Linked DNA regions of Oryzias latipes. The protein of the gene in region 2 purifies or fractionates together with the protein of the main gene of each other region. This does not show direct contact. Links are inferred from orthologs where the notes say so. Each region holds a gene or a part of one and is shown on either strand. Other genes may lie near its edges.

The links.
Region 1: the proteins of sf3a3 (region 2) and sf3b6 purify together in Homo sapiens (affinity purification with mass spectrometry; 3 studies listed by BioGRID and IntAct, with this or other methods). This does not show direct contact. The link is inferred for Oryzias latipes from reciprocal best matches to the Homo sapiens genes SF3A3 and SF3B6.
Region 3: the proteins of sf3a3 (region 2) and snrnp70 fractionate together in Homo sapiens (co-fractionation; 3 studies listed by BioGRID). This does not show direct contact. The link is inferred for Oryzias latipes from reciprocal best matches to the Homo sapiens genes SF3A3 and SNRNP70.
Region 4: the proteins of sf3a3 (region 2) and snrpa fractionate together in Homo sapiens (co-fractionation; 4 studies listed by BioGRID and IntAct, with this or other methods). This does not show direct contact. The link is inferred for Oryzias latipes from reciprocal best matches to the Homo sapiens genes SF3A3 and SNRPA.
Region 5: the proteins of sf3a3 (region 2) and snrpb2 purify together in Homo sapiens (affinity purification with mass spectrometry; 6 studies listed by BioGRID and IntAct, with this or other methods). This does not show direct contact. The link is inferred for Oryzias latipes from reciprocal best matches to the Homo sapiens genes SF3A3 and SNRPB2.
Region 6: the proteins of sf3a3 (region 2) and rbm17 purify together in Homo sapiens (affinity purification with mass spectrometry; 4 studies listed by BioGRID and IntAct, counting the BioPlex papers as one, with this or other methods). This does not show direct contact. The link is inferred for Oryzias latipes from reciprocal best matches to the Homo sapiens genes SF3A3 and RBM17.
Region 7: the proteins of sf3a3 (region 2) and phf5a purify together in Homo sapiens (affinity purification with mass spectrometry; 3 studies listed by BioGRID and IntAct, with this or other methods). This does not show direct contact. The link is inferred for Oryzias latipes from reciprocal best matches to the Homo sapiens genes SF3A3 and PHF5A.

What each region holds. Positions count from the first base shown.
Region 1 is NC_019882.2:13,000,287-13,003,928, reverse strand, and holds sf3b6 (splicing factor 3B subunit 6), read right to left. Parts: upstream 2,188-3,642; 5' UTR 2,065-2,187; coding exon 2,035-2,064; intron 1,711-2,034; coding exon 1,592-1,710; intron 1,105-1,591; coding exon 966-1,104; intron 870-965; coding exon 780-869; 3' UTR 501-779; downstream 1-500.
Region 2 is NC_019869.2:17,931,794-17,935,881, forward strand, and holds the start of sf3a3 (splicing factor 3A subunit 3), read left to right. Parts: upstream 1-1,288; 5' UTR 1,289-1,443; coding exon 1,444-1,539; intron 1,540-1,640; coding exon 1,641-1,688; intron 1,689-2,411; coding exon 2,412-2,464; intron 2,465-2,555; coding exon 2,556-2,661; intron 2,662-3,218; coding exon 3,219-3,291; intron 3,292-3,656; coding exon 3,657-3,748; intron 3,749-3,827; coding exon 3,828-3,910; intron 3,911-3,990; coding exon 3,991-4,088. UniProt on the Homo sapiens protein: Component of the 17S U2 SnRNP complex of the spliceosome, a large ribonucleoprotein complex that removes introns from transcribed pre-mRNAs.
Region 3 is NC_019866.2:24,780,069-24,784,096, reverse strand, and holds the start of snrnp70 (U1 small nuclear ribonucleoprotein 70 kDa), read right to left. Parts: upstream 2,801-4,028; 5' UTR 2,596-2,800; intron 2,236-2,595; 5' UTR 2,230-2,235; coding exon 2,083-2,229; intron 2,009-2,082; coding exon 1,946-2,008; intron 822-1,945; coding exon 767-821; intron 685-766; coding exon 620-684; intron 553-619; coding exon 490-552; intron 266-489; coding exon 184-265; intron 1-183. UniProt on the Homo sapiens protein: Component of the spliceosomal U1 snRNP, which is essential for recognition of the pre-mRNA 5' splice-site and the subsequent assembly of the spliceosome. SNRNP70 binds to the loop I region of U1-snRNA.
Region 4 is NC_019871.2:13,958,418-13,962,527, forward strand, and holds snrpa (U1 small nuclear ribonucleoprotein A), read left to right. Parts: upstream 1-1,315; 5' UTR 1,316-1,397; intron 1,398-1,644; 5' UTR 1,645-1,652; coding exon 1,653-1,725; intron 1,726-1,840; coding exon 1,841-2,013; intron 2,014-2,359; coding exon 2,360-2,524; intron 2,525-2,769; coding exon 2,770-2,928; intron 2,929-3,025; coding exon 3,026-3,114; intron 3,115-3,204; coding exon 3,205-3,364; 3' UTR 3,365-3,375; intron 3,376-3,460; 3' UTR 3,461-3,610; downstream 3,611-4,110. Other genes in the region: c13h19orf54 (UPF0692 protein C19orf54 homolog), read right to left, coding at 10-191. UniProt on the Homo sapiens protein: Component of the spliceosomal U1 snRNP, which is essential for recognition of the pre-mRNA 5' splice-site and the subsequent assembly of the spliceosome. U1 snRNP is the first snRNP to interact with pre-mRNA.
Region 5 is NC_019859.2:709,986-714,062, reverse strand, and holds the start of snrpb2 (U2 small nuclear ribonucleoprotein B''), read right to left. Parts: upstream 2,801-4,077; 5' UTR 2,675-2,800; intron 2,288-2,674; 5' UTR 2,280-2,287; coding exon 2,216-2,279; intron 546-2,215; coding exon 373-545; intron 312-372; coding exon 180-311; intron 108-179; coding exon 72-107; intron 1-71. UniProt on the Homo sapiens protein: Involved in pre-mRNA splicing as component of the spliceosome. Associated with sn-RNP U2, where it contributes to the binding of stem loop IV of U2 snRNA.
Region 6 is NC_019881.2:3,098,602-3,102,805, reverse strand, and holds the end of rbm17 (splicing factor 45), read right to left. Parts: intron 803-4,204; coding exon 699-802; 3' UTR 501-698; downstream 1-500. UniProt on the Homo sapiens protein: Splice factor that binds to the single-stranded 3'AG at the exon/intron border and promotes its utilization in the second catalytic step. Involved in the regulation of alternative splicing and the utilization of cryptic splice sites.
Region 7 is NC_019877.2:2,094,200-2,098,151, forward strand, and holds phf5a (PHD finger-like domain-containing protein 5A), read right to left. Parts: upstream 2,668-3,952; 5' UTR 2,596-2,667; coding exon 2,544-2,595; intron 2,271-2,543; coding exon 2,247-2,270; intron 934-2,246; coding exon 767-933; intron 690-766; coding exon 600-689; 3' UTR 501-599; downstream 1-500. Other genes in the region: aco2 (aconitate hydratase, mitochondrial), read left to right, coding at 3,630-3,665.

The DNA.
Region 1 (3,642 bases), on a different chromosome or scaffold from region 2:
GAGGAATTTTAAAACAAATGGATAGTCCCATGTAAAAATATAAAATATGATAAAGTGGATAAATTAAAGAATTCAAAATAAATAAAAACTATTAAAACATTTGCTAAAAGGCAGTTGAAAAAGATGGGTCTTGAAGCTTTTCTTAAAAGCAGCTATGCTCTCTGCAGCTCTCAGGTCCTCTGGCTGACTGTTCCGTAAACAAGGGTGTACCCCACCTTTGCCCTACAACAGCTAGGATAGGCTCCAGCAACAAATATAGCAGGTTAAGATGGATGGACGGAAAAGACTGAATGACGGTCAGCTTCTCAAAAGATACTTTTCTGTTTGTGTGTAAATGTGGGGGAAAAAAGAAAAATTAGCTGATGTGACAGGTTTACAAAACAAGAGTAAAGTGAGTTCATATGTGGTGTTTATAAAACAAAAGACAATGGGTTTAAAGAAAAAGAGACATTTATTTTACAATAAATGGGTTTAAACAAACATTACATCCATTGATGTTCTTGGAGCACAAGGCAGAGACCTGTTAACTTTCAAATAAAATTATGTGGGGGGGGGGGAAAGAACTGAACTGAAAACATGCCTGGTTTCACTTCAAATTAAAAGCTCAATTAACATCAGAGAAGTCATTTTTAAAAAAAGCAGACGGCAGGTCATGCATAAAAGGTTGACAAAAGCACCAAAACAAAAACCTGACCAAGCAAAAATTTTCAAAAAAGGGAACATTTGTACAGGTACAGAGAAATCTAAGGTGTGTGAGAAGGTTTTGATAGTCGTGGAGATCATTTGGGAGGGTCTGTGTTGATGCCGTATTTCTCTTTTAGGAGCTTCAACTGCTCTTCCTTCTTCTTTGTGTCCATTTTCTGGAAAGCCTGCAAAAATATGAGCGGGTTGATGGTAAACAGAAAAAAACAAACAAACAAGGAACCAAAAAGGTTGTAAATGGATGAAATAAAAAGCATACGTACTCTGTTGGCGTTGTAGTAAAGAACAACCAGGTAACGATTGCAGACGTTGAAGCCTGACAGGTGATCGCAAGCGTTCTTGGCATCAAATATGTCTTCATAAACAACATACGCCGTTCCTCTGCTTTCAGGTGTGTTACCCCTAAAATACAGCAAAAGCATGAAATGGTCACACATCTTAACCTGTTCCATAATAATATTGTCCTTAAAGACCCACTCTGATGAAAACTGTTTTAAAACATTTTCTCATGGCATTTTTCTGATGAAGGACAACATATATGAAAGAATATTGAGCTTATTTACATATTTATTTTATTGTCTGAAAACATATGAAAAAGTGATCTAAGAGGGACTCTTAAATGATGATAACATGTGAGGGGAACAAACAAAACAAGCATTTTTAATATGATTAATAATGATTTAAATGTCAAATTTAAGCAAATGCTACACCACAGTTTGGAATGAAACGATTTTTTAAATAAATTTTGCTTCTCATTAATACTACCATGTAAAAAAATTACATTTATATATATTCATTGTTAGTAGACGTGGTTGTGTGTTTAGGACAGACATTTTTTTAAATTAAAAATAAACAAATAAAACTGAAGGTATGAAGACAAAACACTTACGTTCGTATTTGACGTATGGGTCCATATTTGCCAAAAATGTCGTACATTTCCTCAGCCGTGATCTTGTAAGGCAGATTTCTTATGTATAGGATTCTGTTCACCTCTGGAGGTAACCGAATCTGCAGCACACAAAAAAGAAATGTGTAACAGAAAGACTAGCATGTAAACAAACGGTATAAGAATTCTTCACTAAAGTGTACCCTCTAACGTGCTAAAACAATAATAATTCTTTAAAATTTTAAGATGACAAAACAATCAATTTTACCATCTCATTTTCAAAATGCCGTATTTATTAATTTTTTTACGTAGCGACGCTATCTTTTAGTAACCAATAGCTGCTAAAGGCTAACGGAGGGCTAATTGTCCCTTTCGTGAGCACCAAAAACCATATTAACATATACTCGTTGTTATATAGTAAAGTTAAACACAAAAATTGACCTTACATTAGCGCGTTTCGCAGCTTGCATAGCCATGATGACAGTTTATTTCGTCTGAACAATAGCTAAACAACAAACACGCAATGCCTTTAGCCTTCACCAGGAAATGGAGGGACAAAACGAAGACGAACATCCGGTTAACGGATAATACCAATAGGTACAGCAATAGGCATGTGCTTCCCTCGTGTGGTTAAAAGAGGAATCACACACATTTTGAGATACTATTAACACAACTTTTTTTAAATTTCTTTGTAATTCTGTTCTTTGACCTAGAAAAAATCAACATGGCCATGAAAGTGGTTTTGTGGTTTCACAAGACACAAGAAATAAAAAGACTTATGTGTACCTCTCTCATCAAAGTGTTGTGCAATGAGATATATGTGTAGGGAAAAGTAAAATTACTTATAAACATCAATAAAATGCAAAACAGTTTTTTTTGTCATTTTTGTGTTAGGAAATTCCCTACACTGACAAAATCTATGTATTTAACTTTTTTGGAGAAAAATATTGGAGATTTGAGCACTAGTTAGAATTGCAGTTTGACCTGTTTACCCACAATTGGGGTTTTGGCGTTAAAATGAATCTACTCCCCTTTTGTGTCTTTTTTTTCTTTAAAGATAAAATCCAAATTCTATACATATTTATGAGGGGGAAGTTAGTAAAAATAACCATCTCTCATAAAAAAACAAACAGAAAACAAAGCTGTGCTTTTAATTTCTTTAAAAAAATACAGTCTAAAAAAGATCTTAATTCAAAGTACTCGATTCCTCTTCTTTTGTGACATTTAAAAAAAAAGCGAGATGACAATCACCTTTATAAATCTAACCACAAATAAAAAATATTTTTTCTCTAAAATGTTCGGAGAAAAAAAACTATATATAGAATATTAAATAGAATTGTGATAAAGTATTACAATATAAAAGAGGAAAAATAAACGACGACATGAGAATAAAGTCATAAAATTATGAGAAAACAAATCAACATGGGGTAATGATTTGTTGAACTGTTGTGCTTTTATTTTCTGCAATTAACAGGTTATGGGTTAAAGAAACGAAAAGAAAAGAAAAAGTATTAGTGCGCAGGCGCCATGTGGGATTTGATGATTCGGTCCGGTAACGGTTGCAGATTACGGCGGGAGTTTTTCCAACGGCAAACTGGCGTCTCTCGAGGAAAATCTAGAAGGGACGTTTTATTGAAGTCTCGCGACGTGGAAAAAGATCGACGGTTGAAGACCAACTCGGCGAGGAGAGCTTTCTTAGTCTGAGATGAATAAACGGGTGAGTTTTAGTTTAACATTTTTTGTAAACCAAAACGATAGCCGAACTCCTCGTATTGACTTTAGTTGTTTTTTTTTATTCGCAAAACGCCCGTTTACAGAAACCCGTCCTCAATGGCTAACCTAGCTTAGCCAGCGGACTGTGCTAGCTGCTGACGGTCCGATTGGATAAATTGTTTAAGTTTTGACCATAGTTACGACAAAAATTGTGAAGTCATAAAAATATATAAGAAAGTAATAATAATAATAAACTCATTGTAGGACTGACAATAGAAAAAAACGTATTTAGCTAAGTAGTTTGAGTTAACATGATATTAGAAATGAAAAATTTCAAGGCA
Region 2 (4,088 bases):
AGAAGAAATTATCTCTGTGTGTCCGTTAGTGTCCTTGCAGCACTGTTGAATCTGTTGAAGACCCAACAGATTATAAAGGGTTAAAGTCAGGACAGACAGGAGGAAAACACGGAGTAAAATCAGAACACTGTGGCGCCAGTCAGAGACAGCAATCACTTTCCGATCTCTGAATGATTGATCGCTGCGTCTCCTGTGGAAGCAGAGCATCCAGGAGTAAAAGCATCCAATCAACAACTGCTAATGAATAAAAAACAAACAGAAGGTGTTGAGCGGCTGCAAAAAAAATGCTATTGGTCTTTACATTGCGTGGCTTAAAATATTGCATGGGCTAAAACATTTGTAAAATATTGAAATGCAGAATGAGTGTACTCTACAACGCAATTTGTGCAGTGTTGTTCTGCACATCATAATGGTTTTGGAGAGGGTGGATGATGGCACTTTTACCTACAACAAGGGTGTCACAGTCTGATACTGAATATGTTACTGAGAGATTTAACAGCATGATGACGGGTTAGGAGGGATTATCCATGATAGATGTCAGTTTTACCAGCCTCCTTCTGATTCAGACTTCCTCAATAGTAGCCAGTTTGTAGCCCAGGGCCGAGCCAGCTCCCTTGATTTTGGGAGGACTCACAAAGATGTCCCCCAAGTGACACCCTGGGCAAGGCGAGATCCCCTTGCTCCCCCCTTGCCGATGGAGGTAGTGTCTTTGTCAGTTGAAGCTATCCGGAAATTGGGATTGGTGATGACCCATGTCCTTGTGAAACACATTATACCGAATTCTCTGCTCTCTCCCTATGTCCTGATGAACACTTTCACTTCATCCATGTAATTTGCACAAACCTCACATTTTCATTGATGACTGTGGGAATGCAGGACTTAAACTTCTTGTTCTTCATCCTCTGTTAGAGCTATACTCTGAAGCATCACCACCTCCTCTCTAAGGTGGGTCTTTCTAGCTTGAAAGTCTTAAATTCATATTTTCAAATGTATATTTGCCTCTAACTGTCAAAAACAACGAGAATCTGCATTTCTTGCTCATATACAACATTATAAAACACGAACAATGCAATGAAGTGCATTTTTTCCAGGCAAAACATTTACACTTCCAGTCTAGTTTAAAAACAACATTCCTTAAAAAAAAGTGACAAAACCAAAAATATTTTATATTAATGAGATTCCACGATCTAAAAGTAATTTTGCAAACCAAGCTTTGAGTATTTTTATTTAAAGTAATAGTTTAGTGTATGTCTGTTAGGGAAGCGGTTATCAAAGCGGAACCGTTTTACTGGGGGGTGTTTCTTCAGAAACTTATCTGGTGACGGACCCCGGCGTACGTTAGAATGCTTCAATAGAAACAAACGTAGTAGCTTTTTTTTGGTTTCATTTAGCGTAAAAGACAAGAAGAAAACAGGCAATCAAACTACGAGATATTCCCGAAACATGGAGACTATTTTGGAACAACAGCGCCGCTATCACGAAGAGAAGGAGCGGCTCATGGACGCCAAAACCAAAGAAATGTTACAGAAAAAGTCAACGGTGAGCTTAGCCGCTGCAGGCTAACGTTGGCATTACGTGCCACGACGTTATCCTCCTAAAACAGAAAATTAATGGTTGTAATGTGTTATTTGTTGTTTCAGCTTCGGGATCAGATTAATTCCGACCATCGGATTAGAGCCATGCTCGATGTAAGTAGAATTTAAAAAAAAAAAACAACGTTTTGTTGATGCTAACACAGCGGCAGGCTTACGCCACCGCTACAATGCTTAGAGCATAGTATTAGTTCAAAAGCTACAGATAGTTTTAAAATAGACATTGAAACATTGCCTTCTTAACTTAAGATGAGCTATCTTAAAGACGACCAATCATCCATAAGCTGTTGAGACAAGTGAAAATTTTACTATATTTCCTACTATAGACAACTCAAAGCGAAAAAGTATATAGTGGAGTCAGAAGAAGGACACATGATGATGAGAAGGAATAAGTGTTTTTTACTCCGATTATGAACTCATTTGTCCAAATAGAATAAGGAGACACACAGGTAGGTGTTGCTGCTTCCATTCATCCAGCAGCTCCATTGACTTCCATTTTCCGGTTTGAACTTAAAAATTTTGAGTTTACCTTCAAAGCCATTCACAAAACTAGACCTGTCTGTCTCTCAGATCTGGACATTTTGTTTGTATGTATTTTACAAGTAGTATTATCTAAATGAGATGCAATATAAACTACTGAAAGCATAGCTGTAGTAGCTTTAAATGAAGAAAGGTTGTACAAATATAACAATAACAGGCCGTCATAATTAAGACTTTGAAACTAAAATGACAAAAGAAGTTGAGATGTTTATTTTGATGATAGCACTTTAAAAAAATGGAATTATTCAAGAATGCTTGTGTCTAAATGTGTTTCGTCAGAGATACATGGATGTCAGTGCAAACCTGCGAGACTCCTATGAAGACAAAGATGGGTGAGTGTTGTAGTCTTAAGAACCCACAGGTCTGAATCTTTTCTTTTTCTTTACTGCAGCTGTTTTTTTTCTTCTTCTTTTCTTTTGGCAGCATGAGGAGAGACGAGCTCGCTGCCATCTCTGGACCAAATGAGTTTGCTGAGTTCTACAACAGACTCAAACACATAAAGGAGTTTCACAGGAAGCACCCCAATGAGGTACAGAATCCAGAGTTGTAACAGCACTGCTTTGTGTGGTTTGACAGATGGAGTTATTTATAAACGCTGCTTCATATCAGGAAAAGATTTAAACTATAGAGTGTGTTAGTTATTGTGTTAGGAATTGTGTTAGGAAGGCCATCCTGGGAATCATAAGATGATTCCCTGTGGTACCCACTGTAGGGAACAACTGAAAGGTAAAGAAATAGACTCGGCCACTTAGGTATCAAAAAATACTTTTCCTGTTCTGGGGTATGGACATTATTGGATTATCAGTCAGAAGCGCAACACAAAGCCCTCAGTATGTCAAATGTGTGTTTAATAGACCGACACATTCTGTGCCGGAATGTTGCTCATTCTGCAGAGCTTGAGGGGAACTGCTCTCTTTGGAGCGACTGAAAGTTGTGGAGGAAACCTTTTTGTGCATCACAGGATTGTTTTGCAGAAAATGTCAGCAGAAGGACACTTGGTGTTTTAGTAATGGCCATAATCCATGTGGAATTGTTGATGGTCATGTGACCTTCATTAAACCGTTTTTTAACATGTTTTCCTTGTAGATTTCCATCCCCATGTCTGCAGAGTTTGACGAGTTGATGAAAGCCAGTGAAAATCTCAGTGAGGAAGCTCAGAGTAAGTCGGATCCACCTCCAAAGCATTCTTTATCTTGTTCTTCTCTTTTACAAACATTAACTCTTATTAACAAACAAGAGTTCTTTCTCAAAGTACACATCTGTTTTAGTTTTTCCACCTTTGGTGAGCTAGATCCTAAATTCATTTTTTTTTGGGGGGGGGGGCTTAAATGTAGGAATTCCCTTCACAAGCCGGCAACTAGCCGGCTTTAAGTCTTTTTTTTGTATTGTAGATAAAAAATATATATATATATATATTTGGTCTAAAGTGTTTATGGATTTAATTTTAAAGCCTTTGTTTTAGTTTTAGAAAAATCGAGCAGAATAGTTTGAGTCTGGTTTGACCCAGATTTTTGTCTGCCTCAGACATGGTGGAGTTCACGGATGAGGAGGGATACGGCCGCTACCTGGACCTCCATGACTGTTACCTGAAGTACATCAACCTGAAGGGGTCTGAGGTCAGGATCCATCAGATCTGCTTGATCCGTGTCCAGATTCACATGAAGGTGCACTTTCTAACTGCCCTGTGGTTCTCAGAAACTGGATTACATCACATACCTGTCTTCCTTCGATCAACTGTTTGACATCTCCAAGGACCGGAAAAATGCTGAGTACAGAAAGTAAGTGTTTGTTCCGGCGAAAGTTCCGCTGTTTTTCCGCACGCGAAGCATTAAGGTGGAAAATGCTGCCGGCTGTGCAGATACTTGGAGATGCTGCTGGAGTACCTGCAGGACTACACCGACAGGGTCAAACCCCTGCTGGACCAGAACGACCTCTACGGCAAAGTGTTGACCGACT
Region 3 (4,028 bases), on a different chromosome or scaffold from region 2:
CATCGAGCAGACCCCCCCCCCCACACACACACACACACACGTCAGACGAGCAGCAGACATGGATCTGGTGAGCAGAGCTCAGTTTGCTGGTCTCCTTACAGAAGCATCAGTGACGAGCAGTGCTCTGATCCACACACACCAACACAGACTGGCTTTGGTGGCCGATGCCTCAGCCGTACTCACAGTGCATGTCTCGCTCGTGCTCATACTCTATGAAGGCGTAGCCGCGGGGCTTCCCTGTTCCCTTGTTGTAGACGATGTAAATCTGAAAAGAAAAACTCCTGGTGAGACTCGGCAGAGCGGAGGCAGCAGACATGCAGTCAGCGCACGACGACACGCACAAAGCGGCGCCAAAACGCTTCACGCACGGCTCTTTACTTTTTTTTATAGTATTTTGAAGAGCCAGGAGAATTTTCTCACATTGTAAAGACAAAAGGGTTCATGTTTTGAAGAAAATCTGGACACAGAAAAATAATAATCAATAGCTACCCGTTTAATGGGGCCATAGACTTCAAACTCACGGCGAAGTTTGGACTCTGTCGTATCATAATTCTGAAACAAAAAGGTTTTAATTACCAGATGTGAACAAGGAGTGAGAAGAACCAAGACAAATACTCACCACTCGTGCCACAAACAGAGTCTTGAAGGCATCCCCCTGAGCATTGGGGTCATTATGGGGGTCCCCTGACATGGAACAAACAGGAAGGATGAGCACAAAGCTTTTCACCGTTTGAGGAGAACGGCGTGAAGAAAGTGACAAACTCACAGAGCTTCAGTTCTGTCTCCACTTCTCCCTGTCGCCTCTCAATCTTCTCTCTCCTCTGGAAACAGAAAAGAAAATGGTGACGGCCAACCGCAGAGCCTCCAACAGCAGAGCATCAGCACAGAGCTGACATAATCCCGCACTTGGTTTCTTGTCTGCTGCCAGCATGCACCTGTGCTGGGCTCCTGCCTGGTATAATATTTCTATAGACTTGAGAGGTTTTCACCGAGGCAGAAAATGCTGAATGAAGGAGTTAGGACTGTAATTCAACTACCCCTCCTTTGAGAATCTGCATTCATTAGGTCTGTGCTTCACAGCCAAACTCCTGCTTCAGTCAATTCACAAGTTCACAAATAAATTTCCTTTATGGCTCAAGACGCTCAACTGAAACGTTACAACCCCAACATAACATTATCTGTGCAACAAAAATGGCGAGCGATAAAGGAGCTATCCAGGCGTTGAGTTTCTCAAACAACAATACTAACAAATGCAATTTTAATCCTAATTTTCTGTATACATGCCTTCCATCGTTATCTACGCAGCACAATCAGAGATCCAAACAGTAACGACTGGTGGACGCTGCAGCACAGACAGGATCAGGTTAGAGGTTTATATAGTAAAGAGATGGTTGAGTGTGCCATGAGAAATTACTCAATTTCACCTATTTGTTCTAAAAAAAAAAACATTTTCCATCGCCAGAATATTAGCTCTACGTTCATCGAAATACGCCCAGGTTTCAGTTGGGAGTACTACAGATCACAGAAGACTTTTACTTCCTATTTAAGACACTTTGATTAAAAAAAATGTCTGCACCACTACTGTGCAGCAACTTAGGCCAATGGCTCTTATTTTGGAAAAAGTTTGTAAAACACCCCCAGTTCCTCACCCTGACAAAATACCAGCTAACAATGGTGGAAGTGTAGCTTCAAGCAGGATCCGGTGTCAGACCGTGTAAAAAGTGCATCCAATAATGAAGCCCGGAGATTTGCATCAGTGTCACAGAGTTTACTACATCTCCCATGATTCATTGGGTTGATGTGACAGAATCTGTGCTACTGCCAGCTGCCATAAAGCAAAACAAACGCAAATATGAAATCTTCTGGATGAAAGCAGAGATAAACCGTTTATTTATCCATCAGGTTCTGTATTTGAGCACATGTGCAAAGGGGGGAGGAAACTCACCTTTCTCTCCAGGCGTTCCTCGCGGGTCTCGGCTCTGGTTGGTGGGGGGGCATCTCTAGGATCCTGGTGGGAAACAGTAGGAAGGTGAGACAGAGGCATCGGGGGGACGGAGGCTCGCACGTGACAGCGACGCTCACCTCGAAGTGTCTGATGAAGGGGGCGATGCCGCTGTACGGCTGGTTGTGATGCTTCTCGTGGGGCAGCTTCTCCAGCTGAGGCAGGAACGGAATCGGGTCCCGGGGGGCGAACAGGGCCAACAGGTTCGGCGGGAGGAACTGCGTCATCTTTCACTTGATCGATAAGGAAAACATGCATGATATCAGACACGGATCTGCCGCAACACAATGAAGCAGCGAAACTAGCTGTCAGGGCAGCTAGCTAGCTAGCTAGCTAGCCGTAATACCCGTACTAGCTAGCTAGCTTCACGCGCTTATTGTTCACTTCCCCACAGGACGGGGGACGCGTTCAACGCATTTCATGCATCCAGAAGTAGAACATCAGGAACCCCCTCCCACAGTAGTACACGTTATGGTCTGCGTACAAGTTAAGAGTTTGGCCGTCCGGAGGCAGCCGGAGGCGTCTGCTCCGCTCGTGGGATGTAGCGCTCCCGTTAGCATGGAGCTAACCACTAACTGCGCCCTTACACTCACCTTCTCTCCTCCAGAGTCCAGCAGCTTTTAGTTCATGGACCTGAAGGAGGAGCGGGACTGTCCGCGGGTTCGGTGGCTCAACGTAGAACCGCCAAAAAGAGACTCCGTGAAGATAAAAATGCTGGAAATGGAGCTGAAAACAACGTGGAGATAGCTGGCTGCGTACTGCGGCTGCTCGGCCTGTTGAAAATATAAAATGGCGGGGGGGACCGCCGCGTGAACGTACGTCTTTTGACGTAACTTACGTGATGACGTCAGGACGCCGTCCAATGAGTTTATTATTGACAATGTGATTTCCATGTGATTTTTCCCATTTTGCTCTGAATTTTATTGAAATAAATATAAGTTTCCTTTGACATTGTTAAAAGTTTATTTTTTTGTTAAAAAAATAAATAACTTGTTAAGTGAGAATCACTATGGGTTTGGTTCTAATAGGTCTACAGGTTTTGCTACAATGAAAGTAGTTGAAGAAATTTCAACAGCAATTGACAAAAAGAAAAATACATTAAAAGTTATCATTGATTTAAAGAAGGAATTTGACACCATAGATCATTCTATCTCGATTTCTAAACTGCATGCGTATGGGGTTAGAGCAATCGCCCACCAGTTATTTACAAAACAGACAATACAGTATGTGCAGTTTGGAGGTAATAAGTCTGATCTCATGAATATTATTTGTGGACTTCCACAAGGTTCAATTATAAATGTTTGGGGTATTTCTAAGTTGTTGCAGTTTGTTTTATTTGGACATGAAGACAAATTTCTCTGTTCAGGGATAATCTAAAACCCTAACTTAAAAGTGTTAAAAAGGAAATGAAACTTAAAATGTGGTTTGATTATAATTAACAAAAACAAAGTTTATGGTATTTGGTAATAAAGAAAAAACAGAAGTGGCTTTATCCATTGACAACATAAATATAGAGCAGGTGTCTGAATTTAAATTTTAGGGGTTATGTTGGATGACAAATGAACATGGAAATCTCATATTTTATGTAAAAAATAAAGTAACCAAGACCCTTTTTGTTTTGAACAAATCCAAGTATATTTTACCATGTCAGAGTGTGCATGTGTTATATTGCTCTTTGGTTTTACCGTACTTTACATTTTGTATTGAAGTGTGGGGGAACACAGATTAAACTAATATAATACCCTTAATTTTATTACAAAAGAGTCTCTGCTTCAGCTGGTCCCAGACCTGCTCTATGGGGTTCAGGTCAAGGGTCATTGCTGGTCAGACCATATGAGCCTAGAGACTGGTTGTGATCATTCTGGCAGCATGTGGTGGAGCGTTATCATCCAAAACTGCAAAACTCTCACACAAAATAACTCAATAGGAGTGAGATTATATGAATTTGCTTTTTCCAACTCCTTTTTTTCCTAGCACTAAATCACTTTCTACTTGACTATTTAGTTAATAATCACTATATTTAAAT
Region 4 (4,110 bases), on a different chromosome or scaffold from region 2:
CCTCCTCACCTGCTCTCCTTCTGCCTCAGCAGTAACCTCGCCTCGGTGTATTGCCCCTCTACAGGGCTGCTGTTATTTGCTATGATCTGGTACAGTTTCTTCGGTGGTGCTGAAGTTGGTGGAGGAGGAGGCGGACAAGCAGCCAGTGGAGGAGGTGGAGGAGGTGATGACAAGCTGCAGTCCACCGGCATAGTCTCAAAATCTTTCTACTCTGTCTGATCAAAACCAGCTCTGTTGGGGGGAAAAATGTACCTCCATTGATTTCTTTAATAACCACCAGGGAGAAAGTTAAGTACCATTAAAGTCTAACATGGGGCTCAATAACTGCTTACCTTTCACTTCGAGTCGTTTGCACACAATCTAAAAAGCTCGATGTTTACCTAAACATGTCAACCTTTGGACGAAAAAGATTTGACATATTCTTGCACGTGGTAAACAAACTTTTCGATTTAACTAGCTAACAAGCTAGTAGCTAACGCAGCTCCGTGCTCATATTTGGACATACTCGCTCTTCTTCGTGTGTGCGATCGCTCTGTACTCAACTGTTACACCACCCTCCAGTGAGTGATGATGATCATTCCATCACTAGTCATCTACAGTTTAACACACCATTTACACACATACCGTACAATGTATTTGGAAATAAAGTTGAAGGCACAAAGTTAGTGACAAGTCAATCCACAGTCAGTGTGTAACAGGACAAGCGAAGTTTTTTTCGCTTGTGTCTCTGGGTTTTTTTCTTTTTCTTTTACAGATTTTTGACATTTTCTTTTAATCTTTCCTGTCAAGATACGATACCACACTGATAGGACGATTAAAATATCTTGCTAACGCAAATACTGAAACAAATTTCGTTTTTGACCATTGACTGAAAAGGACCGCAAATACACTGGCTTTATTTCTATTTTTTATTCTTGTTTTATTTATGTATTTATTTTTACTGTTACTGTATTGTTACTTAGTTTTTCCCTCTGTGATTGCTTTAATTGTATATTATTGAACAAGATTCGTTTTAACAATCGATATTGCTTATAATTTTGTTCTTAATAGTTTTCACAAGGTTAGAGTGAGGTGGAGGACGATGATTCGCTGTGGCGACCCCTGATGGGAAAAGCCGAAAGAGAAAGAAGAAGTTTTTTACAAGGTTAAAAAGATTTTTTTATTTATTCAGAACGTAATTGTATTCTTTATATTTTACTGTTATAAATGTTGCATTTTTGTATTATATTCTGCAAATGTTCAATAAAAAAGAGAAGGACCGGAAATCACGTGCAAGTTGGATTTATCGCGAGCAGATGATACGGAAATTGTAAAGGCAGGTTTTTCATTCACCCATCGAAGTGAGCGTTCCTTTCGCGCCGAGCGGTGGTGGGTTTTTTGTTAAAACTGATACTCAGGTGCGGTTATCCGGTGTTTTTTCTCTTTTATAAAACCAAATGTCATAAGGTTACAGATAGTTCGATTAAATTAATCATTTATTGCTGATTTGTCTCAGTTTATACCGAGTTTTAAGCTTTATGCTAGTAATGCCTGCATGCATTCAGGGTTGTTTGCTAGCGCTAGCTGTTAGCCTGCTAACTAGTTGATAGCATTCAATTCATTTTATGTGACATGCTTTGTTCTTTTCCAAACAACTCTTCGTAGATTTTAAGATGACCACTCCAGAAGTACGACCCAATCACACCATATATATCAACAACTTGAACGAAAAAATTAAGAAAGATGGTAAGTTTTTTAACTTCTGGCCTTTCTTTGCTTTTTTGGTCGAAAGAACGATGTGGTGATAAATGATGTTAATTCAGATCCACCACAGCTTTTTATTTTCCTCTGTCTTTATTAGAACTGAAGAAGTCACTGTACGCCATCTTCTCGCAATTCGGTCAAATTTTGGACATCCTCGTCGCACGAACCCTGAAGATGAAGGGTCAGGCCTTTGTTATCTTCAAAGAGATCAACAGCGCCTCAAATGCACTGAGGTCCATGCAGGGGTTCCCTTTCTATGATAAACCCATGGTAAGTTAAACGTTGTTTTAATTTCCTCCATGGTTTTAAATTTACAAATATCGTCCTGTAAAATGTTAAAACTCAAATCAATCTTAGTTTTCAATATTCCTCTCTGCTGTCATGTGTTGTATAGTTTGTGAAATGTTTCAATTCCACAGTGTGCATCAAATGAAGGATTGATCTTTGTAAACTTAGAAGTGCTCAGTGTGAGAGGATCACTGAACACTTAACACTGAACACTTTTTAATGGTTATTAAAAATACATTTAAATAACTAGTAGGTATAATGGATTTTTTCTTTTTTTTAAGCACACTTGGTATAGTAATGCCACATATTTAAACGTGTCTTACTGCAGCGCATTCAGTATTCCAAAACAGACTCGGACATCATAGCAAAAATGAAAGGAACCTATGTGGAACGTGAGCGCAAAAAGGAGAAGAGGAAGCCCAAGCCTGAAGGAACAGGAGCTAAGAAAGCTGCTGCTGCAGCCATGATGGCTGGTGTGCCTACTGCTATGCCTGTAAGTGGGAACGTTTACTGTGACCAGAATGACATGGCAGCTCTTACTCGGACAAGTTAAAAGTGGAAAAATACTGTCTGCAAACTTGCTAAGTTTACCATAGCGATAGGTTGTTTGGAGATTTTAAGCTAAAATAACAGCAATTGATGGAGAAAAAGTTTGGTTTAAAAACCCCACAGAACATAATATCAACCTAGCAAACATTTAGAGGACCATGAACATGTTTACAATGTGTCATTCTCTAGGGAATGCCTCCTATGAGCCAAGCTCCCCGTATGATGCATATTCCAGGCCAGCCGGCCTACATGCCTCCTCCAGGCATGATGCCTCCCCCAGGAATGGCGCCTGGCCAGATCCCCCCAGGTGCAATGGGTCAGATGATGCCTGGCCAAATGCCTCAGCAGGTAATGATTTTTGTCCCCCTGTTCTTTACATGTTTAACCAAAGATGAACATTCCAGGTTTTGTTTCTTTTTTGTCAAACATTTGCCTTCTCTTACAGGTTGCAGAAAATCCACCGAATCACATCCTCTTCCTCACCAACCTGCCAGAGGAGACGAACGAGCTGATGCTCTCCATGCTCTTTAACCAGTCAGTATTGACTTGATAATTGTTTTATGCTTTGACTTTCTTTTCTGCCCAACATATCAAAGACTGACCGTGACCGTTTTCTGCGTTTAGGTTCCCTGGCTTTAAAGAGGTGCGTCTGGTCCCTGGTCGCCATGACATCGCCTTTGTGGAGTTTGATAATGAGGTTCAGGCTGGAGCTGCACGAGATTCACTACAGGGATTCAAAATCACACAGACTCATGCAATGAAGATCTCATTTGCCAAGAAATAATGCCAACACAGGTTGAAATTTGTAATTTGTTTTTTTCCTTTTTAAGTGGTGGAAGTAAAAGGCGTTTTTTTAATAAAATATTTGTTTTTTTCCCAGATTACATGTAAGTATGCTTTTTCTAAGTCACTTTGACATGACTTTAGTTTTAAAAAGTTTGAAAGCATTGCACCCAGTGTCTGACTTGTCAGACATTGTACCTGGAGCTTGGTATTTGTTGTTTTGTATTAAAGTAATTAGATTACTTGATTGATTTTCATTATTTCTTGTTTATGGATTTTTTTTTGGTCATCTAAAACTTGTATTTACTCCATCCTTCTCAGACTGGCACCTACACAGCTTCCTGCAAGGGGTGTAACAATTAATCAATGTATCGATTTATCCAACCGGATCTGAGGCAAGTTCGTAATTAACCTATAGCATTATAAAATCCTTTCAAAATAATATGAATGAATGATAATCGATCTCGGAAAATACTAGTTGAACTGAGACATGATCGTGTTTTTTTTTGTTTTTTTTTACCATAACTATTAGTAATGAATTGTTGTTTACTTGTTTTGTACACATTTATTTACACTAAATTATCTTGCAAGAAATCCAAGTAATCTGGTAAACGTCACTTTCACTGCACAGCACCCTGGTATTTATTATGAGATGCATGGAGTTGTCCTGGATTGATTTTAGGTCATAGGATCATTCAAAGTACACATATCTACTATGAATCTTGTCGGCAACCACAAACTGAGCCG
Region 5 (4,077 bases), on a different chromosome or scaffold from region 2:
TCAGAACACGGATCCTCACAACACGGATCCTGAAGAAGCCTCCTCATCCTCTCAGTGATGAAGAACCCTACCTGGAGAGCGAGCGTGAGACCAGGAACCGCAGCAGCCTGCAGACAGAACACAGTCAGACACAAACAAACGGATCGGTAAAGGGGGGGGGGCACGGCGCCGCGCCTCACCGCGGGCTTCTTGGCGGCGTTGGCTGCCAGCTCCTGGGCCTTCTTCTTCTTCTCCTTCTTCTTCTCCTTGTCTCCGAAGGTGCCCTTCATCTTGGCGATGACCTCGGAGTCGGTCTTGGCGTACTGTATCCTCTGCAGGGAGACAGAGTCAGCGGGGGGCGGGGGGTCATCCTGAGGGTCTGCGCGTTCTCACCATGGGCTTGTTGTAGAACGGGAAGCCCTGCAGCTGCCGCAGCGCGTTGGTGGCGGCGGCCAGCTCTTTGAAGACCACGAAGGCCTGCCCCCTCATCCTCATGGTCTTCAGCGCCACCACGCTGAGGATCTGGCCGAACTGAGAGAAGAGCGCGTAGAGCGAGCGCTTCAGCTCTGAGGAGGAAGAGCAGAGATCAGACCCGGAGGAGCGAAACCAGAACCAGCCCAGCAACAGTTCTCCTCCGACCCACAGAAAGACCTGTGTTTGCTGGGATCCGCCTCCATCAGGATCCGTTTTGTCCTTTCAATCAATCCAACCTTTATTTGTAAAGCGCCTGAACAGTGAAATAAACACTAATAGAGCCGGTCTGACTGTCATCTACTCTGGTGTTAGAAGCCAATGAAAAAAGAGGAGTTTTTAACAAAGATTTCAAACCCTATAAGGAGCTGGCAGACAAAGGGAGACGGTTCCAGAGTTCAGGTTCAGCCACTGAAAAGACTGTCACCTTTAGTCACAGGTCCAGGTCTGGGACCACCAGGAGCCTCTGGTCTGCAGACCACTAAGAGGACGATGGTGCTGCTCAGTGACATAAAGAGGTGCTAAAGCATTTAAACACTTAAAAGGTCAGAAATAAAACAGTTAAAATCAATTCTAAAAGATACCGGCAACCAGTGCAGAGAGCGTAGTACTGGGGTCATGTGATCACGCCGTCTGGACGCCGTTAGGACACGGGTTGAAGCTGAATTCAGGACCAGCTGAAGACGGAGGAGGGACGGCTCCCTCCCAGAATAACGGGAATGACAGCAGGCCAGTGTGGAGAAGATGAGGGCATGGACAAGCCTCTCCGGGGTGTCATGAGGGAGGTGTGGCTTTACTGTGTTGATTCATCGGAGACGATAAAAACAAGACTGGACCACAGCACTAACATGTCTATCAAATTTAAAACTAAAATAACCCCAAGATTTCTGCTAGAAGACAGGTCAGAGTTCAATGATCCAACAGGCCGCTGGATTCTGTCAGATCAGTTTTCCCGGTTTTCTGTTCATTTAGGCAGAGGAAGTTTGACTTCATCCAAGTTTCAACATCCTCTAAACTCTTCTTTGGGTTCTCTACACACTGGGCCCCCCAGATTCTAATGGTAGATAAAGCTGGATATCATCTGCATAACAGCGATAGGCCACATTACACTGATCAAAAATGGTGCAGAGTGGAAGCAGGTATAACGAAAATAAAATGGGGCCTAAAATTGAGCCTTGAGGAACCCCGTGTCCGAGTGGGGCCTTTGTGGATGAGAATTGACCAAGTTGGACAGAAAACCTCATATCAGATAAGTACGACTCAGACCATTCAAGTGCTGTGCCTCTCATGCCAACAGACTGCTCTAATCCAGAAAGTTCAATAACTCTGGCTGCAGTTTGATGCCTTAGGAGATGGACGGACGCCCTCCTCCTTACGTTGTTCCTTTGCCTGTAAACAGACGGCCGCAGGAAACAAAGGCCTGGTTTTGTTCCGATGACGGACATTTTTCTGATCCGTAAACTCTCAGAGTCTCTGTGAGCTGGAACTCTGACAGAACCGGGTCATGAAATCCAGGGTTCTGGACGAGGGTTTTTGTGAGGTGCTGCTGAAACTGCCAGTGACCCAAGTTTGACCTGTTCAGACCAACGAATCCTGCTTTTGGAGTGTGAACAGAACGCCAATGCTTTTCCCGCCCTATAATGATTCATTTACTGAGACTGAGATCCTCCCGAAACACCGTCAGCCTGTTGGGCTGCAGGTGGAGGTTTACAGGTGAGGCTACAGGTGAGGCTGCTGGATCCGTGTTTCTGAGCAGGTCACTTGCCTTCTTTCTTGACTTTGTCGTTGATGTTGTTGATGTAGATGGTGTAGTTTGGTCGGATGTCCATGATGGAGTCTGAGAAGAAGATGATGAAGCGATTTGATCAGGAAAACGGACAGGCGCTCAGAGCCTCACGTTGAATGAAGACTAGTTTTTAAAAAGCTTCGGACAACAATGAAGCCTTACGATTAACGTGCCCAGATACGAGAAAAAAATTATCTGGAAATACAGTTTTTAATAAGAGAACTTTTGCGAGAACTTAGATTTCTTTGATTTTATGACTTTATTTTGAAAGAGGCGCTAGCGTTAGCATCCGTTAGCTCCGAGGCTAACCACGCTCGAGTTCAAAACGTTAACCGACCGTGGCGGCTTTTCTTTCGGAGGAGTCGCACCCCTCCAAGTCTGTCAGCCCCAAAACAGACCAAAGATTTTAAAATAAAGAAAAATAAACCCGCAACTCACCCGCACTGTGTTCACGCAGCGCAAGCAGACAACCGGAAACCGCCGTATGCCGCTTTATGAAGATCGCCGCGCTGCTGCCCCCGCAGGCCGGGAGGGGAACTGCAGCGCCTTCCTTCCTGTTAAGAAACACAAACGAGAGTTAAGGGAAACTTCAGCCTTTTCATTCTCTTCTTCAGAAATCCTCATCCATATATATCAGTTATGTTTGCATTTATTTATTTATTATATTTTCTTTGTAATTCTTTCTGTTTCTCCTGATAGTTTCATCAAACCAAATACTGACTGTGAAGGACGCTATCTTTGTTATGTTACTATCAATGTTGTTAATAAAAACATCTTTGTTTAAAAACCTGCCAAAGGTGGATTATTCCAGTACTCCAGAAGGACTGTAGGATTTTAGCAACATTTATGTTCAAAAGTTGATGGTGACGGTAGTGGAGTGTTCAACACTCAGTTCTGTAAGGAGTCTGCATGTTCTCCACATGCATGATAGATAGACAACTTTATTTATCCATTTGGGAGGTTCCCGCATGGAAATTGACAAAAATGAGTGAGAACTTTACAAGTGTACTGGGGGGTATTCCAGAAGGCCCGTTTAAACTCCCCTGACTTTAACCCTGAACTCTGGCTGAACTTGCTTACTCTGGGTATGTTGGTTCCTAAAGACCGGATATGAGTTGGCGTAATTACGCTCCACTTGGTAACGCTGGGTTAATGCACAGCAGGTACATAAAGACATTCTCAATGGATCGCCGATTTCTGGAGTCACCATGAAAACGCGTGGAGAAAAAAAGAGAGCGCTATACTTCAGACGGAGTCTGAGATTTAAATGACGGCGTATGAAGATTATAGGTCCATCAATAAAGTAACACGGCTGCATCATCAGCAAAAGAAAGAGTTTCTGCTTGTAGTAGAAGAACAGACAAAGTAAACGCACGAGTTTCTGATCTTATTTCTATTTTCATTGTGACACAAATACGCCCCTCTCACCCTCCCCAGGTGGTTTCTCCTCCAAGCTGGGGTCCTCTACCAAAGGCCTGGGATCTTGAGGGTCCTGCAGTATCTTAGCTGTTCCTGTTCTTTTCTGGACTGAGAGGTCTGAGGTCTTTCCAGGTATCTGTTGTAGCCACTCCTCCAGCTTGGGGGTTACTGCCCCCGGTGCTCCAATTACCACAGGCACCACTGTCACCTTCACTTTCCAGGCTTTCTCCAGTTCTCCTCTGAGTCCCTGGTATTTCTCCAGTTTCTCATGTTCCTTCTTCCTGATGTTTCCATCGCTTGGCACTGCCACATCCACCACAACGGCTTTCCTCTGTTCTTTATCCACCACTACAATGTCTGGTTGGTTCTCCATCATCATCCTATCAGTCTGGATCTGGATCAATTCAATTCAATTCAATTTT
Region 6 (4,204 bases), on a different chromosome or scaffold from region 2:
CATTCTGAGAAAGAACAGGGATGGTCCGTCCTCGGGAGCTTTCCGTGAAACCCAACCATGTGCGGAACACTCTGCACGAGCGCCATACGGCGAAGGTTGAGTTTAGAACCAGACCGTACCGGTCTGCATCGGAGTCCATCAGCACCTGTAGAGCCCGACCAGGTCTCTGCCAAAGGCCACTTCAATGTCACCAAGAGGCATGCAGCAGCTTTTCAAAACCAGGACTCGTTACCCAACCCGCCTCACTGATCTGATTTAAACCCACTCCAGGGGCATCTCTTCATGACGTCGGGCCCCTGGGGGCCCCCTGGCTCACTTACATAAGTCCTGAATGAGGCTGAGGCTCCGTTCACTGTCCTAGTCCCCTCCATAATGAAGCAGGGCTATGTTAGGACCGCCAAAACCCCCCAGAGAGGCAGAACCCAAACACAGGAGCCCTGTGCATTTCAGGCAAGAATCAGACGGCAGAAGTAGGCTTCTTGGAAAGTGGAAACGGCACATAAACGGCTTTAAAGCTTTTATTTTGACATATTTGTCAAATGACAGGGAAAAAAACAACAACTACATTTTACAGTTCTGACCACAGAGACGCTGTTCAGGAAATATAAAAAAAAACAAAAACAAATTTATGTACAAGTCGATGAACGAGGAGGAGGAGGATGATGATGGTTGACGCCGGCGCCGATCGCAGGACCACGTCAGACCTGTTCTCCCAGATCCAAAACCCGGAACTTGTCCAGGTTGTAGAAGCAGGCTTTGACGACCCTCCCGCCAAAATAACGGCCGTTCAGATCCACCACGGCTGCAGGAAGGACAGGATGCAGGCAGATTGATATCAACGTGAAAGCAAATGGCATGGAAAAAAACACACTGATTAAAATGACTTAAAATGAAAAGAAAGAAAAAGAAGTTGGATTTGATGCTCCAAACCCAAACATGAGCTCAGGAATAGGCTGCAGAGTGAAGCAGAGATGGTTGGTGTGCAGCAGTGCTTCCTAGAACCTGCTTTTAATTAGAAAAACCAACAATAAAGGCACGTTTCAGCTGAAACTAACCATGGACGAACTCAATTCTTTGAAAGGATGTGATTCTTTCTGCTACACTTTCTGTTTACGGTCATGAGGACATTTAAAATCATTCGTTCCACTTCCAAAGAACGCTGTTTTTGCTTTGTCATCCTGAGGAGGGAATGTGACGACACACGCCTCTCTCTCCCGTGGATCATCTGAGCTCCAGGCTGCCTGACATCACGCAGATTCCTTTCTCTGATAATGTTGGGCTGGTTTAGCTTCAGGGTTGGAAAAACCACCCTTTTCTCAGAGACCTTTTCAGCCGTCTGGATGAAGCTCATCTGCTGATCTAGTCAATCATGTAGTTGTAGAGTCAGATAAGTTCATTCTCTCTAAGAGTTCTGGTAAATCGCCTGTCCGTCCTGGGGGAGGATCCCTCCTTCATGTGGACCCCCCCGAGGGTTCTTCTGTTTTGCCCTGGAATCGTCTAAGTTTAGTCTGTTTGGTTTAGTTTAGTTTGTTTTGTTAATTTTAGTCAGTTTAGTTTAGTTTGTTTAGTTTAGTCTGTTTATTCTAGTCAGTTTAGTTTAGTTTGTTTGGTTTAGTTTAGTTTGTTTTGTTAATTTTAGTCAGTTTAGTTTGTTTAGTTTAGTCTGTTTATTCTAGTCAGTTTAGTTTAGATTGTTTGGTTTAGTTTGTTTTGTTTAGTTTGTTTTGTTAATTTTAGTCAGTTTAGTTGAGTTTGTTTAGTTTAGTTTGTTTAGTTTAGTTTGTTTTGTTAATTTTAGTCAGTTTAGTTTAGTTTAGTTTGTTTAGTTTGTTTAGTTTAGTTTGTTTAGTTTAGTCTGTTTATTCTAGTCAGTTTAGTTTAGTTTGTTTGGTTTAGTTTAGTTTGTTTTGTTAATTTTAGTCAGTTTAGTTTAGTTTGTTTAGTTTAGTCTGTTTATTCTAGTCAGTTTAGTTTAGTTTGTTTGGTTTAGTTTAGTTTGTTTTGTTAATTTTAGTCAGTTTAGTTTGTTTAGTTTAGTCTGTTTATTCTAGTCAGTTTAGTTTAGATTGTTTGGTTTAGTTTGTTTTGTTTAGTTTGTTTTGTTAATTTTAGTCAGTTTAGTTGAGTTTGTTTAGTTTAGTTTGTTTAGTTTAGTTTGTTTTGTTAATTTTAGTCAGTTTAGTTTAGTTTAGTTTGTTTAGTTTGTTTAGTTTAGTTTGTTTAGTTTAGTCTGTTTATTCTAGTCAGTTTAGTTTAGTTTGTTTGGTTTAGTTTGTTTAGTTTAGTTTGTTTTGTTAATTTTAGTCAGTTTACTTTAGTTTGTTTAGTTTAGTTTGTTTTGTTTAGTCTGTTTATTCTAGTCAGTTTAGTTTAGTTTGTTTAGTTTAGTTTGTTTAGTTTAGTTTGTTTTGTTAATTTTAGTCAGTTTAGTTTAGTTTGTTTAGTTTAGTTTGTTTAGTTTAGTTTGTTTAGTTTAGTTTGTTTTGTTAATTTTAGTCAGTTTAGTTTAGTTTGTTTAGTTTAGTTTGTTTAGTTTAGTTTAGTCTGTTTATTTTAGTCTGTTTAGTTGAGTTTGTTTAGTTTAGTTTGTTTAGTTTAGTCTGTTTATTTTAGTCAGTTTAGTTTAGTTTGTTTAGTTTAGTTTGTATAGTTTAGTTTGTTTTGTTAATTTTAGTCAGTTTAGTTTAGTTTGTTTAGTTTGTTTAGTTTAGTCTGTTTATTCTAGTCAGTTTAGTTTAGTTTGTTTAGTTTAGTTTGTTTTGTTTATTCTAGTCAGTTTAGTTTAGTTTGTTTAGTTTAGTTTGTTTAGTTTAGTTTGTTTTGTTAATTTTAGTCAGTTTAGTTTAGTTTGTTTAGTTTAGTTTAGTTTGTTTAGTTTAGTTTGTTTAGTTTAGTTTGTTTTGTTTAGTCTGTTTATTTTAGTCTGTTTAGTTTAGTTTGTTTAGTTTAGTTTAGTCTGTTTATTTTAGTCTGTTTATTTTAGTCTGTTTAGTTTAGTTTGTTTAGTTTAGTCTGTTTATTTTAGTCTGTTTAGTTTAGTTTGTTTAGTTTAGTCTGTTTATTTTAGTCTGTATAGTTTAGTCTGTTCAGTTTAGTCTGTTTAGTTTAGTCTGTTTAGTTTAGTTTAGTCTGTTTAGTTTAGTCTGTTTAGTTTAGTTTAGTCTGTTTATTTTAGTCAGTTTAGTTTAGTTTGTTTTGTTTTGTTTAGTCAGTTTAGTTTAGTTTAGTTTAGTTTAGTTTGTTTCTATAGGGGAACCTTTAGAATTGGTACTTCATTGGTACGTCATTCATCTCTGCAGGAAACTACTGTTCCATTTGAGCACAAAGATCTGTGGCTGTTAGTCTGTTTATTCTAGTCAGTTTAGTTTAGTTGGTTTAGTTTAGTTTGTTTTGTTTAGTTTGTTTTGTTTAGTTTGTTTTGTTTAGTCTGTTTATTTTAGTCTGTTTAGTTTAGTTTGTTTAGTTTAGTCTGTTTAGTTTAGTCTGTTTATTTTAGTCTGTTTAGTTTAGTTTGTTTAGTTTAGTCTGTTTATTTTAGTCTGTTTAGTTTAGTTTGTTTAGTTTAGTCTGTTTAGTTTAGTCTGTTTAGTTTATTTTAGTCTGTTTAGTTTAGTTTGTTTAGTTTAGTCTGTTTATTTTAGTCTGTTTAGTTTAGTCTGTTTATTTTAGTTTAGTCTGTTTATTTTAGTCTGTTTATTTTAGTTTAGTCTGTTTATTTTAGTCTGTTTAGTTTAGTCTGTTTAGTTTAGTCTGTTTATTTTAGTCAGTTTAGTTTAGTTTGTTTAGTTTAGTTCGTTTTGTTTTGTTTAGTCTGTTTAGTTTAGTTTAGTTTAGTTTAGTTTAGTTTAGTTTAGTTTAGTTTAGTTTAGTTTAGTTTGTTTCTATAGGGGAACCTTTAGAATTGGTACTTCATTGGTACGTCATTCATCTCTGCAGGAAACTACTGTTCCATTTGAGCACAAAGATCTGTGGCTGTTAGAATGAACCAGCTGCTCTCTGAGCAGAGCAGCTGGAGTCTCGTAGCTGCAGGCGGGGACGGTTCTTTGTTTCAGTGTTCGGACCGGAGAAGCGTTCTGACCGCAGTCCGTACGGCTGCAAAGGCACTTGATCGTAAAAATACTAGAAGCGTGTTTAGAAGATGATCTCACTCCGTGTCGGAGCTCTGCTTGTTTACAACAGACTGCATAATATTTTCTTCTATGGT
Region 7 (3,952 bases), on a different chromosome or scaffold from region 2:
TTCCATAGTTGAACTTTTAAGTAATCTTTAAGCAGTTCATCTACAATTACTTTTCTGATTTAAATAAATTCATTTGTATCCTGAAGAACCAGGAATCAGGCTGTCCTGTTTTCAGACGGGAGAAGTCAGAATTATACGTCTTTAAATACATCATTTCCTCACTTTTGATCAGTAAAATGTAGATTTTGTTGGACTCAAATCCCTAATTTTTTAACTGAACTCTCAAATGTTTAGTTTTTTTCTTCCCTGTTGTCTCCATTTCAGGTTAATGTGACGAGAAAAGACAAACCAAAACTTCCAGATCTGAAGCTCCTCAGATCTTTAGGAAAATGTCGAAACTTTTCTTCCATCTAGAAAAGTTTAGGCTGCATTTATACGACCTGGATCTTCCTTGGAACCTAACAGGAACAAGGTTGAATGAGAGAAAAGAGCCTCCATGTATAAACGATAAGAAAAAAACGCTTTAAAACTGGATTATTCAGTCAAACGGCCACAGAGACTGGAGTACAAAAGTGAGTTTTATTCACAAACCAAAACAGTTTTCTTGGAAGTTTGGAAACGAGAAGGAAAGCCTAACAGACGCCGGGGGGGTTTCTTCTTCACCTCTTCTTGAAGCCATACTTCTTCCTCTCGTAGAACAGGTCTGTTTTGGAGCTGCCCAGGTTCACGATTTTCGGACATCCGTCCCGCTGCACAAAAAAAAGATTAAGGGTAAAAACATTGGTTCATTTCAGCGAAGGGCCGATCCTGGAGCCCAGAGACTCACATCTTTCTCCTGAATGGTGCACTCTTTGCAGTAGTACGCATCAGACACTCCGGGGCCTCCGCAGATCACGCAGCGCCCCTGATAGGACCCGTAGTTACACTCGTCACAAATGCGCACCAGCGTGCACGGCCTCACGTACGAATCACAGATGACGCACTTCCCATCGCCTGAAAGGAGCAGATCAGGGACAGTCTGGTTGGTCTCTGCCGTCTTTTAAACATTGTTAAAGTCAGACTTTAAAACAAGTTATTTTTGTAAAAGAAGACGGTCAGACGCTGCATCTCACTTCCTGAGTTTCTGCTGCTAGTTTCTTTGATGAAATGACAGCAAAGAGCTTTACAGATACATCAAATTAAACTTTTTTTTTTTTAAAACTCGAAGCGCTTTAAAATTTAAAACTAAACTCAAGACTTGAAAACAGCTGATCGTTCGTGTTTTTTGATCAAGAACATCTGTGTTGCTCTATATGCAGACAGGAAGGAGATACAATAGAGAGAAGAGGATAAACAGATAAGAATTGGCCAACACAGTTTGTTTACAATAGTTCAGAACTCTGGGTTGATGTTTTTTTTTTTTAAAGCAATATTTGACTGACATAATAACTTTGATGCATCTGTATGAAGGACTTTATCAAACTTCTGTTTTTCGAATCTCATCTTATTGACCAGACTTCCAGACTGGGAATTTAAGACATCTTTAATGTCATATCTATATGTTCCACGGCATCCTTTCCTATTTAGTTTTACAGACTGCTTCATTCTAGATTTTCTATCTAGAAAAAGTGTACTGATTTTCGAGGCAGGAATTCAAATGCTTCAGTCAGAAAGCAGGCCCAAACCACAATAAACTTCCACCGTGCTTAAAGTCCCACTCTGATCCTCTATTGAAATATTTTCATAACGTTTCCAAAAGCTGTGTCGTTTCTCCAAAGCGGCAGGAGTTTATTAGAAATACACCTATGAGTTGTGGGCAGATTGGTAGCGTGGAGCATGCCCGTCCCCCCTTCCCATCACCCATCTGTTTGTGTGCACTCACGCTACCTTTACAGCCCCTCACACCTCCAAACCTAACTGTATCGGTTTTGTTTCCAACAAACGGAAAAAAAACCTCTGTGGAATTCAATGGACTTTTTCTTCACTCTGCTTTATGTTCCCACTTAAAGTACTAAGTACAAATGAGTTTAGACTCCATTCACATTGAAAGCTTCTTGTTTTAAATTCTAGAAATGGAAAAGTTTTGGATTGTAGTATTTTTTCCTAGACTAGAGAGGGCTTTTATTCTGAAAATAATTCTCACATTAAACATTAAAGGCCCGTGCAGAAAAAAAAAGAAGAACAAATCAGGGATGGCCGCACGCAAAGAATCACTTTATAATATGTTTTTTTTTTTTTTGTTATTTATAAATATTACCTATAAAATGATATCTACATGCACTCTTTCTTTGAACGTTTGATAGCATTAAACAATTAAAAAAACTTACATTTTTCGCAAAGTCTCCCGATAGCTGGTGATGAAAACAGATACAGTTAATAAGGTAATTTACACAGTTTGGGATTAATATTTTAAATAATTAAATAGAAAAAACTAGGTATTTAGACATGTCGACTCCAAACACAAAACTAGGCTAACACGACCATGCTAACAGTCTCATTGAAACCCCATGCCATACATGCTAACAAAGCGCTAAACCTTTGAAAGTAAACCACGAATGTGTCAAATTACCTGCGACGAACTTTAAGGTTTCAGACACTAAACAAATAATTACGTAAAAACTTACCAACTCCCGCTTGTTTTCTACAAAAGATCAGATCTGGGTGATGTTTAGCCATGTTAGCTAACGACAACCCAACGCTCCGCTGACTCTTCTTCTTGCGTGTCGGTGGAAGCTAAAAGCAGCTAAATGGCCAATACTGACACCTACTGGACAGAAGCATGTACTATTTTATTTTTTAAATTACAAAATAAAACATAAACACGAGTTATAATATTTAAGATAATGAAAGTAATTAATTTAAGTTTTGAAAATGTAAAAATAAAAAATGTTACCAACATATTTATTTACATTTTTTTTATAAATACTAGATTTAAATAAATACCCTTTTTGCTTTTAAAATAGGCTACATTTCCAATTTTTAAAACCTTTTTATGAAATTTTCTGTTTTAAATTCATTTTTTAAAATGTTTTCTGAAAACCAGAACAATATATAAAATTATGAGAGAGTTACTTTATAAATAAACATGTCAGCTTGAGGAGGAAATTACCTGTTTGAGAACTTTAATTGCAGTTCATCAAATTAAAATTTTCTTGAGTAAAAATGTACTTTGGTGTGCAATGCATACCCTTGCTGAAGAAATAAAATTTTTTCTAACTATTGCGCAACTTTTTTGATGAACAGAAAATCTAGCTTATTTAACTTTGTTCATTAATTTATAAAAATGTTACATTTCCATCATATTTCTATATTTATTTTGTTTAATCAAGCACATATGAATGATTAACAACCATTTTACAAACCTAAACTTTTAGTCCATTGAATTGAAAACATGATGCAAATATCCTGTATGTATGGAAAATTTAATTCAAGCAATGCGTTATTTCTTTTAGATCTGCTGATGTGACGACCAATATTTTTCTTATGAGTCTGATGACACATTTTGTCACATATTGACACAATTTCTTTAATATTTTATTCCATGTAAACATGTACATTTTAGAAAGGAAATAAAATTCAGCTGTATTTCCAGGCTTTTCCACCAGAGGGCAGCAGTAAATACGACACTGGACGAAAAACCAAAGAAGAAGAAAGAAGCTTTTATACATCAGTGACGTCACGGCGATCTCACATCTTTGTCAGTGAACAAAATGGCATCTTACTGTCTCACCGTCGCACGGCTCCAGGTAAGAGCCTAAAAACTGTGATTTTTAAGTGTGAATTTCCCCGCAGCGAAGTGTCGATTTGCATGAAAAGATTTAACATCTCGTGTACAGTTTCCCGGTCTCATTAAAAGACCGAGAGCTAACGGATGAACGCAGAGGTTTTTCCTAGCTAGCTGCCTGGCAGGTCATCGTGTCCCTAACGCACCCGACCCAGGAGACGAGAACCAGCTTGACCCCAGCATATTATTGCCCTATAACGCCTCCGTTTTTAGTATGTTATCTCACATATTCTCTGTTAAACAATGAAA